Linked DNA regions of Macaca fascicularis. The protein of the gene in region 2 purifies or fractionates together with the protein of the main gene of each other region. This does not show direct contact. Links are inferred from orthologs where the notes say so. Each region holds a gene or a part of one and is shown on either strand. Other genes may lie near its edges.

The links.
Region 1: the proteins of DNAJC11 (region 2) and ARMC1 purify together in Homo sapiens (affinity purification with mass spectrometry; 4 studies listed by BioGRID and IntAct, counting the BioPlex papers as one, with this or other methods). This does not show direct contact. The link is inferred for Macaca fascicularis from reciprocal best matches to the Homo sapiens genes DNAJC11 and ARMC1.
Region 3: the proteins of DNAJC11 (region 2) and IMMT purify together in Homo sapiens (co-immunoprecipitation; 3 studies listed by BioGRID and IntAct, with this or other methods). This does not show direct contact. The link is inferred for Macaca fascicularis from reciprocal best matches to the Homo sapiens genes DNAJC11 and IMMT.

The regions. Positions count from the first base shown.
Region 1 is NC_088382.1:75,597,096-75,600,744, reverse strand, and holds part of ARMC1 (armadillo repeat-containing protein 1), read left to right. Parts: intron 1-593; 5' UTR 594-628; coding exon 629-811; intron 812-3,649.
Region 2 is NC_088375.1:228,219,029-228,222,677, forward strand, and holds part of DNAJC11 (dnaJ homolog subfamily C member 11), read left to right. Parts: coding exon 1-66; intron 67-1,046; coding exon 1,047-1,169; intron 1,170-2,359; coding exon 2,360-2,433; intron 2,434-3,649.
Region 3 is NC_088387.1:35,382,700-35,386,794, forward strand, and holds the start of IMMT (MICOS complex subunit MIC60), read left to right. Parts: upstream 1-1,253; 5' UTR 1,254-1,335; coding exon 1,336-1,380; intron 1,381-4,095. UniProt on the Homo sapiens protein: Component of the MICOS complex, a large protein complex of the mitochondrial inner membrane that plays crucial roles in the maintenance of crista junctions, inner membrane architecture, and formation of contact sites to the outer membrane.

The DNA.
Region 1 (3,649 bases), on a different chromosome or scaffold from region 2:
TCAGATGAACAGATGTGTTTAGATTCAGTCTAGATTCACTATAATCTTTCACACTACTGGCCTGAGCTGCAGGCTAAATACCTTTCCTGTCTTCTTGATTTACAGACTTCTGCCTCCGTTTTCCAAGGGCATTTTATTCTTTGTAGACAGAGTATGCTAGGTTTTTGTTCATTGATGAATAAGCAAGCTGTAAGCTAGCCACTCTTCCCTCAGGCACTAGTTTTAGGGGTAGAAATAGTCCAGAGGAAAAAAAGCACTGGCAATATTAAGTTTTAGAAGTATAGCAAAGGTTACAAGCTTGAACTATAGAGATGTTTATTGTGACTTTATTGTTAAAATATGTATGCTAAAAAGTAATTTGTTGGAATATGGAGGTTAACATATGTTCTTTAAATATTGTGCACCCAAGTTTTTTCAGTCATCTTATGTTCATTTTACTTTTCTCAAACTGTAGAGTTGCTGATTTCTAAGTTTTTGTGTGATTTAGTTGTAGTTACCTGATTCTTTCTAAACGTGTTGTAATCCTGGTTATTTCACAAGTGCCATAATATACCTCAGCAACTTAGAACTAATTCTGCAAACCTTTTCTACAGAATTTAAGGTTTTATTCATGTGCATGGCATAGAAGATGAATTCTTCCACCTCCACCATGAGTGAAGAGCCTGATGCTCTATCAGTAGTTAACCAGTTACGGGATCTAGCAGCAGATCCATTAAACAGAAGAGCCATCGTCCAGGATCAGGGATGTCTGCCTGGCCTTATTTTATTTATGGACCATCCCAACCCTCCAGTCGTCCACTCTGCTTTGCTTGTAAGTTACCTTTAGTAATTTCAATCTCTGTTTTATTTTTGCAATTAAGGAGATAATTTGGAAAAAGTGCTAGATGACATGGTAAAAAAACTGAAAGAGAGCAATTAATAGTTTGTATTTATGTATGTACAAACATATGTATGTGTGGTCTGTTTACACCAATAGTAACATGCTACATTGTTTTTATTCTTTTGTTTGTTTGTTTGTTTGAGACAGAGTCTCCCTCTGTCATCCAGGCCTGGAGTACAATGTGGCAGGATCTTAGTTCACTGCAGTCTCCACCTCCTGGATTTAAACCATCCTCCCCCACCTCAGCCTCCTGAGTAGCTGGGATGATAGATGCATACCACCATGCCAGGCACATTTTTGATATTTTTGTAGAGATAGGATTTCGCTATGTTGGCCAGGCTGGTCTCAAACTCCTGGGCTCAAGTGATCCTTCCACTTTTACCTTCCAAAATGTTGGGATTACAGCTGTGAGTCACCATGGCTGGCCCTATTTTTATTCTTTAATACAAACTGTAGCATACTCCATGCATGGAATGTTCTACCACTTCCTTTTCATTTAACAATCTTGAGGATTGGATCATATCATACACATAGACACCCAAAGAGGCACTTACTTTGTTTTTATTTTATAACAGCTTTTTAAGATGTAAGCACACAGCATCATACAATTCACTCATTTAAAGTATACAATTAAGTAGTTCTAGTATATTCACAGCGTTGTGTCACCATCACCACAACTTTTTATTTTTATTTATTTTTTGTAACTAAATTTTTTTTTTTTTAGTAGCGATAGGATGTAGCTGTGTTAGCTAGGCTCGTCTCAAACTCCTGGCCTCAGGTGATTCTTCTACCTCGACCTCTCAAAGTGCTTAGATTACAGATGTGAGCCACTGTGCCTGGACCACCACAACTTTTTACCTATTGCTTCCCAGACCCCCCAACTCCCTATCCCTAAGCAAACTATTAATCTACTTTTTGTATGTTTATATTTGCCTATTCTGGCAAAAATGCCTATATATTTTGCATATGAATAGGGCCAAGCATGGTGGCTCACGCCTGTAATCCCAGCACTTTGGGAGGCCGAGGTGGGTGGATCACCTGAGGTCAGGAGTTTGACACTAGCTTGGCCAACATGGTAAAACCCCGTCTCTACTAAAAATACAAAAAAATTAGCCGGGCGTGGTGGTGGGTACCTGAAATCCCAGCTACTCAGGAGGCTGAGGCAGGAGAATCCCTTGAATCCAGGAGGCAGAGGTTGCAGTGAGCCAAGATTGTGCCGTTGCATTCCAGCGTGGGCAGCAAGAGTGAAACTCCATTAAAAAAAAAAAAGTTGTTAAAATTAATGTTATGGGAAATTAATGTTATGGAAATTTAATCTATTGTCCTTTACTTAAGGACTCATGATAAATTCCCCATTTAGTCTAATTTCATAAGTTTGTACAGAAGGCATATAGGCTTTTCCTTTTGGAAAAGTTTTTCTATTTTGCCTTTACAGAATGAAGTTTAGCAGTCAAAAAAGACATTGGTATAAAAGAACAGTAGTAACAAATGGGAAAAATGGCACAGCCCCCAGTCTGGGTTCTATTTCAATAAGAAATGCAATAAGGATGAGAAGAAAGAGGGGGTTGGTCTATAGATAGGGACTTGGGGCTAAAGGAAGTCTTTTTTTTTTTTTTTTTTTAAATAGACTAGAACATGTCTAAATTCAGAGGGCAAGGGCTACTAGAATGGGAGAGGTTTGAGGGGAAGACTCTCATAATTGCAGAAAATAGGAAAGATTTGCTAATAATAAAGTAGTTCAGCAGTGTTGAGGGGCTGATTAGTTTGGTAATACTGAATCGGTATGATTCAGGCCTACTATAGGCTCGGAGAGCCAAGTAGTTGGATTTGTGCAGAGTTGTTACTTGGCCAGGTTAAGTTGGGCAGAATGATTGTGCAAGGGAGTTTAGGGTCTTGGCAGGATTGTTTGAAATGATATACAGTAGGTACTAGGCTGAATAAGGAAGGGAAGTATAAAGTCATGGAGGGACTGAGCTAAGGAGAGGGATCTATGGGTGAAAGTTGCCAAGAGGCTGAAGAAAAGATTTTGTTGTTGTTGTTTTTTCTGTTTTTGAGACAGAGTTTTGCTCTTGCCGCCCAGGCTAGAAAGCAATGGCGCGATCTTGGCTCACTGCAACCTCCGCCTCCTAGGTTCAAGTGATTCTTCTCCCTCAGCCTTCTGAATAGCTAGAATTACAGACCCGCACCATCACACATGGCTAATTTTTATATTTTTAGTAGAGATGGTTTTTCACCACGTTGGCCAAGCTAGTCTCGAACTCATGACCTCAGGCGATCTGCCCATCTTGGCCTCTCAAAGTGCTGAGATTATAGGCATGAGCCACCACGCCTGGCCATCAGGTGTGTTGTTTTGTTTTTGTGATTTCCTTTTTTTTGTCACTGTTAGCTTATTAGTGTACACTTTTGTTTTTATTTTATTTAGTGGTTGCTGTAGGTTTTACAATATGCATCTTTAACTTATTACAGCCTACCTTTAAATGAATCCTACCCTTAACATGTAGTGTAAGAATCGCACAAGAGTATATTTCCATTTCTTCCTCCCATCTTTTGTGCTATTTTTGTCATACATTTTACTTCTACATGTTTAAAAACCTACAGTGTATATATTTTTGCTTTAAACAGTCAATTATCTTTTAAAGAGATTAAAAATTTAAAAACACCTTTTTTTTTTTTGAGACGGAGTCTTACTCTGTCACCCAGGCTGGAGTGCAGTGGCACAATCTCAGCTCACTGCAACCTCTGCCTCCCGGGTTCAAGTGTTTCTTCTGC
Region 2 (3,649 bases):
GATGTGTCCGGCAGTAGCTTTCCGCAGATTGAAATTAATAAAATGCACATATCCCAGTCCATTGAGGTAAAGCACACAACCACCTCTCCGAGTACTGCAAGGGCTCGAGTTAATGAGGCACAGCACACCAAGCAGCTGGAACGAGAGTCTGTCCAGGGTTTTTCTCATCTTTATTTATGAAAGGATGCAATTAGCCACTTAAAAAAGAAAGCGCTTCAGTCCCAGCCGTGTGTGACCGCCGTGCTGGCATGTGAGCCAGCAGGAGTGTGGGCTGGGGCACTTGGCTGCCAAGGTCTTGGGCCTTTCCAGCAGAGGGTGTTAATGGTCTGGGAGAAGTAGAGGCCCAAGGTCATGGGGTTCTGGGAGAGAAAGCAGACCTCCATGGATCATTCTAACCACTGATTTTAGTTTTAAGGCAAATTCTGCTACGTGCCGCAAGGCTATAGCAGGTCCCATCCTGAGCCCTGGGCACACGAAAATGTCACCATTCTGCCCACTATTTGAATGTGGCAAGGTCAGGCCATTCTCCTGAGTGTTTATAGTAGATCTTTGTCTCCTCAGCTCATTAATTTATTCTCCGTTGCATCAGCCAACAACATGGAGTCCTAACTTGGGGAAAGTTGCCCCCTCTTGGAGCTCCCTGAGTCAGCTGATACAGAATACAGCCATGGAAAAGTCTCCAGTCCCCCCAGAACCCTGATGGCAAGCAAGGACAGGAGAGGCCCCAGGTGTACCGTGAGGGAAGGCGCACAGCGAAGCACCCTGTGCTGATACCGCTGGGACAGGCAGCCCCTGTTTCCCCTGGTGGTGTGAAATTTGCCCATTAAAGCTTTTGCAAAGCAGATTATCCTTGTGGTCACATGCAGACCAAATAACAAAGCGAAAGAAAAGTCAAGCTGCTGCGGCAGTTCTGCATCCACGTGTGCTTCTGAACAGAGGAGTCGTCTGCACCTTTGGCCTTGGACTCACAGTGCGTTCTTTAGGCTGCTGCCACTGGCACTTCCTGTTGTTTTGATTCATTCATTACCAGCAAATATCATTTTTAGGCACCCTTGACAGCGACAGACACAGCCATCCTCTCTGGAAGCCTCTCAACCCAGAATGGAAATGGAGGAGGTTCCATTAACTTTGCGCTCAGACGAGTAACTTCGGCAAAGGGATGGGGAGAGGTGAGAATGTCTGTTGGCTGAGTTGTGTTGTCCATGCAAAGTCTTATTTCTGAACATTTACACTCTCAAAGCGCACCCTCAAACTCACCCAGGGGGCCCTGTTGTTGTAAAATGGTACCAAGTGTCAAACTTCCATCAGTTGACTGGTCCTAAAAGAAAAATAGGTTTCATAAGCCTGGCCAACATGGTGAAACCCCGTCTCTACTAAAAATACAAAAATTAGCTGGGCGTGGTGGCGCCTGCCTGTAATCCCAGCTGTTCGGGAGTCTGAGGCAGGAGAATCACATGAACCCGGGAGGCGGGGGTTGCAGTGAGTCGAGATCGCACCATTGCACTCCAGTCTGGGGGACAAGAGCAAAATTCCATCTCAAAAAAAAAAAGATAAATAGGTCTTATATCTGAGAAGTCCTGTCAGTCTTCCTCAGGTTTCCTATGAGACAGCAACTTCTAGAAATCCAGCCTCTGAAACTCAGTGTTCCCTTGAGCAAAAAGCCTGTGGGCTCTTTTTCCTGCACAATTCAGAAGGCAGGTGCTCTCTCCAGTGCGATGGTTCACTGATTGGTGGCCATTTAACAGCCAGTTCTGCCGAGCAAATTGAGCTGCATCAAATTAACATTGAAGAGTTGCTTGAAAGTCACCCAGACTAGTAAACACGGCAGCCAGGCTCAGCTGTGACTTCCAAGGCTATGCGAGTGTGGAACTGCTGCTGGGCTTTTAACGTCAGACCCCTGAGGACCACCCCAGTCACCTGGGAGACATTTGGCTCAGGATGAAAATAAAAAGGAGTCAGCAGTGCATGCGGAGGGGCGGGGGGGTGGGGGGCGCACACCTGACCGCAGCAGGCGCTCTGCAGGTGGGGGCGCTGCGCTGGGAGCGGTGGGGAGCTGGCTGGTCTCCTGACCTCAGCCTGGGAGGCAAGGATCAGAGGTGAGCAGTTTTTTTCTTTGGAGGGACACCAGTGAAACATGTGCCATTGAAACCTGGGTCTCCTTTGGATCTGTGGCAGCAGACATTTCCATTTGGCTAAGGTTAAGATGAGACATTAACAATCTTCTACCCCCTTCTTTTAGAGCCCTGGCAAGACCAGTGAATTGAATGAAGGAATTATACCCAGAGGTACATACCTGAGCCTGGGTTGCTGCTATGAGATAAAACACCACTAACGCCTTCTCTTTTTCCTTTTCAAACAGTTGGAATTTGGAGCCGGAGACCTGCAGGGACCTTTATTTGGTCTCAAGCTGTTCCGTAATCTCACACCAAGATGGTAAATATGAGAGACAGCAGCTCCTCTTTGGTGGTCTTTGTTGACTTAGGAGACTAGAACTGTGTTCTTTTTATCACGGCGGTTGGCACTGTCTTGTCTGTCCTACAAGGTCACTGCGTACATCAAGGGCAGGTGCAGCACTGGCGTGAAGCCCAGGCAGTGTGCAGGTGGGAAGAGGTGGGATTGCGGGGGCGGACCCTTGTCCCAGCCCCGGCCAGGCTGCACCATCCAGGCCTCACACCTCCCTCACCTATGCCACAAGGCCGCAGAGAAAGTGCTTTCAGGGAGAGTTGGTCAGTGGACCGAAACACTTACAGACTTAAGGATCATTCCATTGTCCCAGAGAATGACAGACTGCCTCATCATCAGGTTGATTGACATATGCCAGAGACGGATCCCCCAGCCAGCCTCTGCTTCCTGTCGTCTCTGCTGCTGCCATGATGTCACACTTCTAGAACTGTGTATCCCTGTGCCTTGTAGAACAACAGCAGTGTCTTCGTTTCCTATATGGTGGGGGCAGTGATGTCTTTGTGAGCTCAGATAAAAGAACTGGTGGAGGGTAAATAATACCTTTCTTCCAGGGGAAGATAGAGCTGAAGGAGTCCTAGAATGGAGTATACGGAGTTTATTTTTTTTATTTATTTATTTTTGATTTATTTATTTTTGAGACAGAGTCTTGCTCTGTTGTCCAGGCTGGAGTTCTGTGGCGTGATCTTGGCTCCCTGCAGCCTCTGCCTCCTGGGTTCAAGCGATTCTCCTGTCTCAGCCTCCCGAGTAGATGGGACTACAGGCATATGCCACCATGCCCAGTTATTTTTGTATTTTTAGTAGAGACGGTTTCACCATGTTGCTCAGGCTGATCTCAAACTCCTGACCTCAGGTGATCCACCTGCCTCAGCCTCCCAAAGTGCTGGGATTACAGGTGTGAGCCACCGCACCTGGCCTATTTTATTTTACTTTTTTTTTTTTAGAGACGAGGTTTTGTTCTGTTGCCCAGGTTAGAGTGCAATAGCCCAATCATAGTTCACTGCAGCCTTGAACTCCTGGGCTCAAGCAGTCCTCCTCCCTCAGCCTCCTGAAAAACTAGCATTACAGGCATGTGCCAACATGTCTGGCTCATTTTTTAGTTTTTTTAGAGAAAAGGTCTCTCTATGTTGCCTAGGCTGGTCTCAAGCTCTTGGATTCAAGCAGTCCTCCCACCTCGGCCTCCCAAAGC
Region 3 (4,095 bases), on a different chromosome or scaffold from region 2:
TCTCTCCATGTTACAAGTCATAGCGCAGCCTACCTCTACAGAGAATACATACTGTAATAAATTACCCAGTTAAGACTTGGAATACTTTGCAAACTCAGTACAAGATAGAAAAGTTAGTTTCCACGATATTGCAATAAGATGTTAATAATATTAATACTAACGTATTAATTCTGGAGCATACATGGAGTATTAATACCATGCTTAATATTTAACGTTTTATTTTGATTATCGAATCAATGGAATACTTTTTTTTTTTTTTTTTTTTTTTTTTTGATACGGAGCTTAGCTCTTGTTGCCTAGGCTGTAGTGCAATGGCATGATCTCAGCTCACTGCAACCTCCGCCCCCGCCCCGCCCCGCCCCGGGGTCAAGCAATTCTCCTGCCTCAGCCTCCCGAGTAGCTGGGATTACAGGCACCCGCCAGCATGCCCAGCTAAATTTCTGTATTTTTTAGTAAAGACGGGGTTTCACTATTTTGGCCAGGCTGGTCTCGAATTCCTGACCTCAGGCGACCCGCCCGCCTCGGCCTCCCAAAGTGCTGGTATTACAGGGGTGAGCCACCGTGCCCGGCCCAGTGGAATACTTTTAACGGTGCTTCTGCGCTGACTTCCCATCTTCCAACCCATCCACAAATTGCAGCCAAAATGATATTACTACAGTAAAAACTTGGAGAACGCAGTGTGGTTTAATCTGGAAGAGCAGAAGCTGTGGAGTCCAAAGGACCCGTGTTCCTATCCTTGTTGTGCCACTTGACACGTTCCACACAAGGGTCCCTACAGTGTTCGTTCACCGTTTCCAGCAATCAGGATGACTCCCTGAAGGGCCGTCAGACGAAACAAACGCGCAACCTGTGACAACTGCATTGTTTACGTAACTTTCGCCAAATAGGCTCCTTCCTACGAAATATCTAGCTCACAGAGCCAGGTGAGATTCTTTTTTGCTTTAATTCTCTGAAGAGCCACAGATGTCCATTTTCCACGTGAGTCTGAAGACTGGATTTCAGAACGCTCTCCTTCCAGCCGCGTTCACCTAGTAACCCCAGCTCCGGGCTAAGGACCTGCAGCCCGAGCGCGACCCGGAAAAGGAATCCGCCCTTTTCGCCTCCTGCGCACCAATCGCCCGGCGTTGGCGTTTCCGCAGCCGGGACAGAGCCCACCCTCTAAGAGCCGCCGAGTTGCTGCGGGCAGAAGGGGCCGCGCGTGCGCAGTGGCATCGGCTGCGCTTCCGGTGCGCCGGGCGCGGACGCGGGTACGCACACACGCAAGCACGCGTCCACTTAACTCGCGCCGCCTTGGCAGCTCCCGAGTCCAGCAGCAGTGCCGTCCGCTCGACCGAGATGCTGCGGGCCTGTCAGTTATCGGGTGTGACCGCTGCCGCCCAGGTGAGCACTGGGGCATCCGAGGGCGCGTGAGGAGGCTGACCTAGGACCGCCAGCGAAAAATGGGGGAGCCTTGGGCCCTGCCTAGCCTCCAGGACAAAGGCGAGTCTCTGGGCTACCCTCGTCGGGAGAGGCCCGGGCTGGCAACGAGGCAGCCACCAGGGAGTTCGCCAGACTGGGATGACTTGAGGTTATTGCAGCAGCGGGGTGAGGTGTGGAGAGTAGCGGGAGGCGCGGCTTCGAGGGCGTGCAGTCCAATCAGCGCCGCGCTGCCCCCGTCCAGGACCAATCCTGACTGCTGGCGTCTGTGTCGCCGGTTGGGCGCGCGATAGGTTTTTAGTGCTGAAGGTCGACGGGGGAGAACTACAGTTCCCGGCAGGACGAGCGGAGCCGCGGCTTGTTGCATCCTTAATAAGGAGGTGCCTGGACTTCTAGCGAGTGTCCACATTTTAGGGGTCAAGGTTGTAATTATCTGTGAGGGACTGCCTTTCTTTTCGCAGCTGGGAACACTTATGCACTATTCTTAATCCAAACAAAAGCGAAAGATTTTCCTTTGTGGAGTTGAAACTCCTGGTCTTCAAGGAAAGACAGGAGTCATGACCTTGTGGCTCATTTCTGAGATTAGGACAGGGATCTGTGTCTCCAGGCGCTGGGACTACTTTGACATTCAAGAAGCCTAAATACCCAGTTACTTTTAGTTTTGCGTAATTGCCAAAGTTACTTTCTAAAATTGAAAATAAAAAAGCCTGTTTCCATTGCTCACGATTATCAGAAAGTTGATATTTTGGCAAAATGTTGTAGATAGCAAAACAAGTACTGTGACTAAAGCAGTAAGTGAACAGAATCCCTAGGAAGAGTGAGTTAGAGATCATAAAAGTCAAGCTTTGTTTTTTCAAGTTCGCTTCTCTTCCTATTTGCTGCTAGGTAACAGAAGCAACCCCTTCCATAGGAAAGTGGAACGAACCTACGTTAGTTTTCTATTGTACGTAACAACCACAAATTTAGCAGAACCTTACGGGTTCTGTAGGATAGAAGCCTGGTCATGGATGATCTGTGTTCTCCCCTCCAGGTCACACAAGGCTGCAAAGTATTAGCCATGCTGTGGTTCTCATTTGGAGATCTGGGTCCTCTTCCAGGCTAATGCAGTTTGTGGGCAGAATTCAGTCCGTTGCAGTTACACGACTGAAGTCCCTTTTTTCTTGCTGCCTCTTGTCAGCCACTGCTCCCAGCTTCTACAGCCTACCCACAGTTCCTTGCCTCAAGGCTTCCAGAGGCCATTCATAACATGGATGGCTGCTTTCGTGCAGGCTACCAGGATCTTGCCTCTCTAACTTCCAAATTTCTTTTATTTCGGTCTTTCCTCTCTAGACCCAGATTTAAAAGGCTTGTGTGATTAGACCAGGCCCACCTGGATGACCTCCTTTTCAGTTAATGCAGAGTCAAGTTTTTGGGATCCCATTTGGGAAATAAGAAAACTAATTAAAACTTTGTAATAAAAAATGAACCCTTTTATAGCTCTGAATCCAGATGTCTAAACTTCCTGAAATTGCTATCTTGTAAAATTCTTTGGTTTATTCTCACCATCTCCTCAATCATTCTGTAGCATTTGACATCTGCTTTATGAGGCTCTGCACTTTTGGCTTCTCTCAAGTCATATTTTGGGTCCCATCTAGTTTTCCCTCACTGAGTCTGCTGCTTCTTCGTACCTCGAAATATACACCTTCTCATCTCTCCCTGTCTCTATAGACTCTCCAATTTGAGATTACATCAACTGTCAGAACTTTAATCCCCAAGCAGATGACTCTCGAGCCTTATCGTATTTGATTGTGCCAACTTATCCAGAATATCTCACGTGTCAAGATCCTTTCCACTTTATTAAACCCCATCTTTTTTTTTTTTTTTTTTTTTTTTTGGATACGGAGTGTCACTTTGTCACCCAGGCTGGAGTGCAGTGGCGCAATCATGGCTCACTGCAGCCTTGACCTCCCGAGCGCAAGCAGTCCTCTTACCTCAGCCTCCTGAGTAGCTGGGACCACAGGCATGTGCCGCCATCCCTGGCTAATTTTTTAAAAAATTTTTGTAGAGACAGAGTCTCTCTGTGTTGCCCAGGCTGTTCTCAATCTCCTGAGCTCAAATGATCCTCCCACTTCTGCCTCCCAAAATGCTGGGAATATAGGTGTGAGCCACTGTGCCCAGCCAACCCCATCTTCTTAAATGTCTTACTGCTTTTACTGTTGCCTCCTAGAGTCCATTCTTTAGGAGGGAATAGTAAAAGCAGTAAGACATACAGTAAAAGGCTTTTTAAAAGGCAAACATGCAAACATGAGGTCATGCTCTTTAGAGACATCCCATCACTTTCATAATAAAATCTAAACTGCTTACCATGGGCCCTTGATCTGATTCTTCTCGTATTTCGTTTTTCTACTGCCTCACTCATATTCTCCTGGTAATCTCCAGCATGTGCCTCACTGCCTTTTCATCAGTTGTTTCTTTTGCCCTGAACTCTTCTCACACATGTTTGCTTAGCTTATTCCTTTCAGGTGTTTTTTCAAATGTCACCTTCCCTTCAGAGAGGGCATCCTGATCCAAAATAAAATTCTCACTACTCTGGCCTTCCTTGCATCACTATCTTTACCCCATCCTACTTTGTTATACTTTGTAGCTCCTAGCACTACCTGATGTTATAATGTGTACTTATTACACAGTTTCCACCTTTAA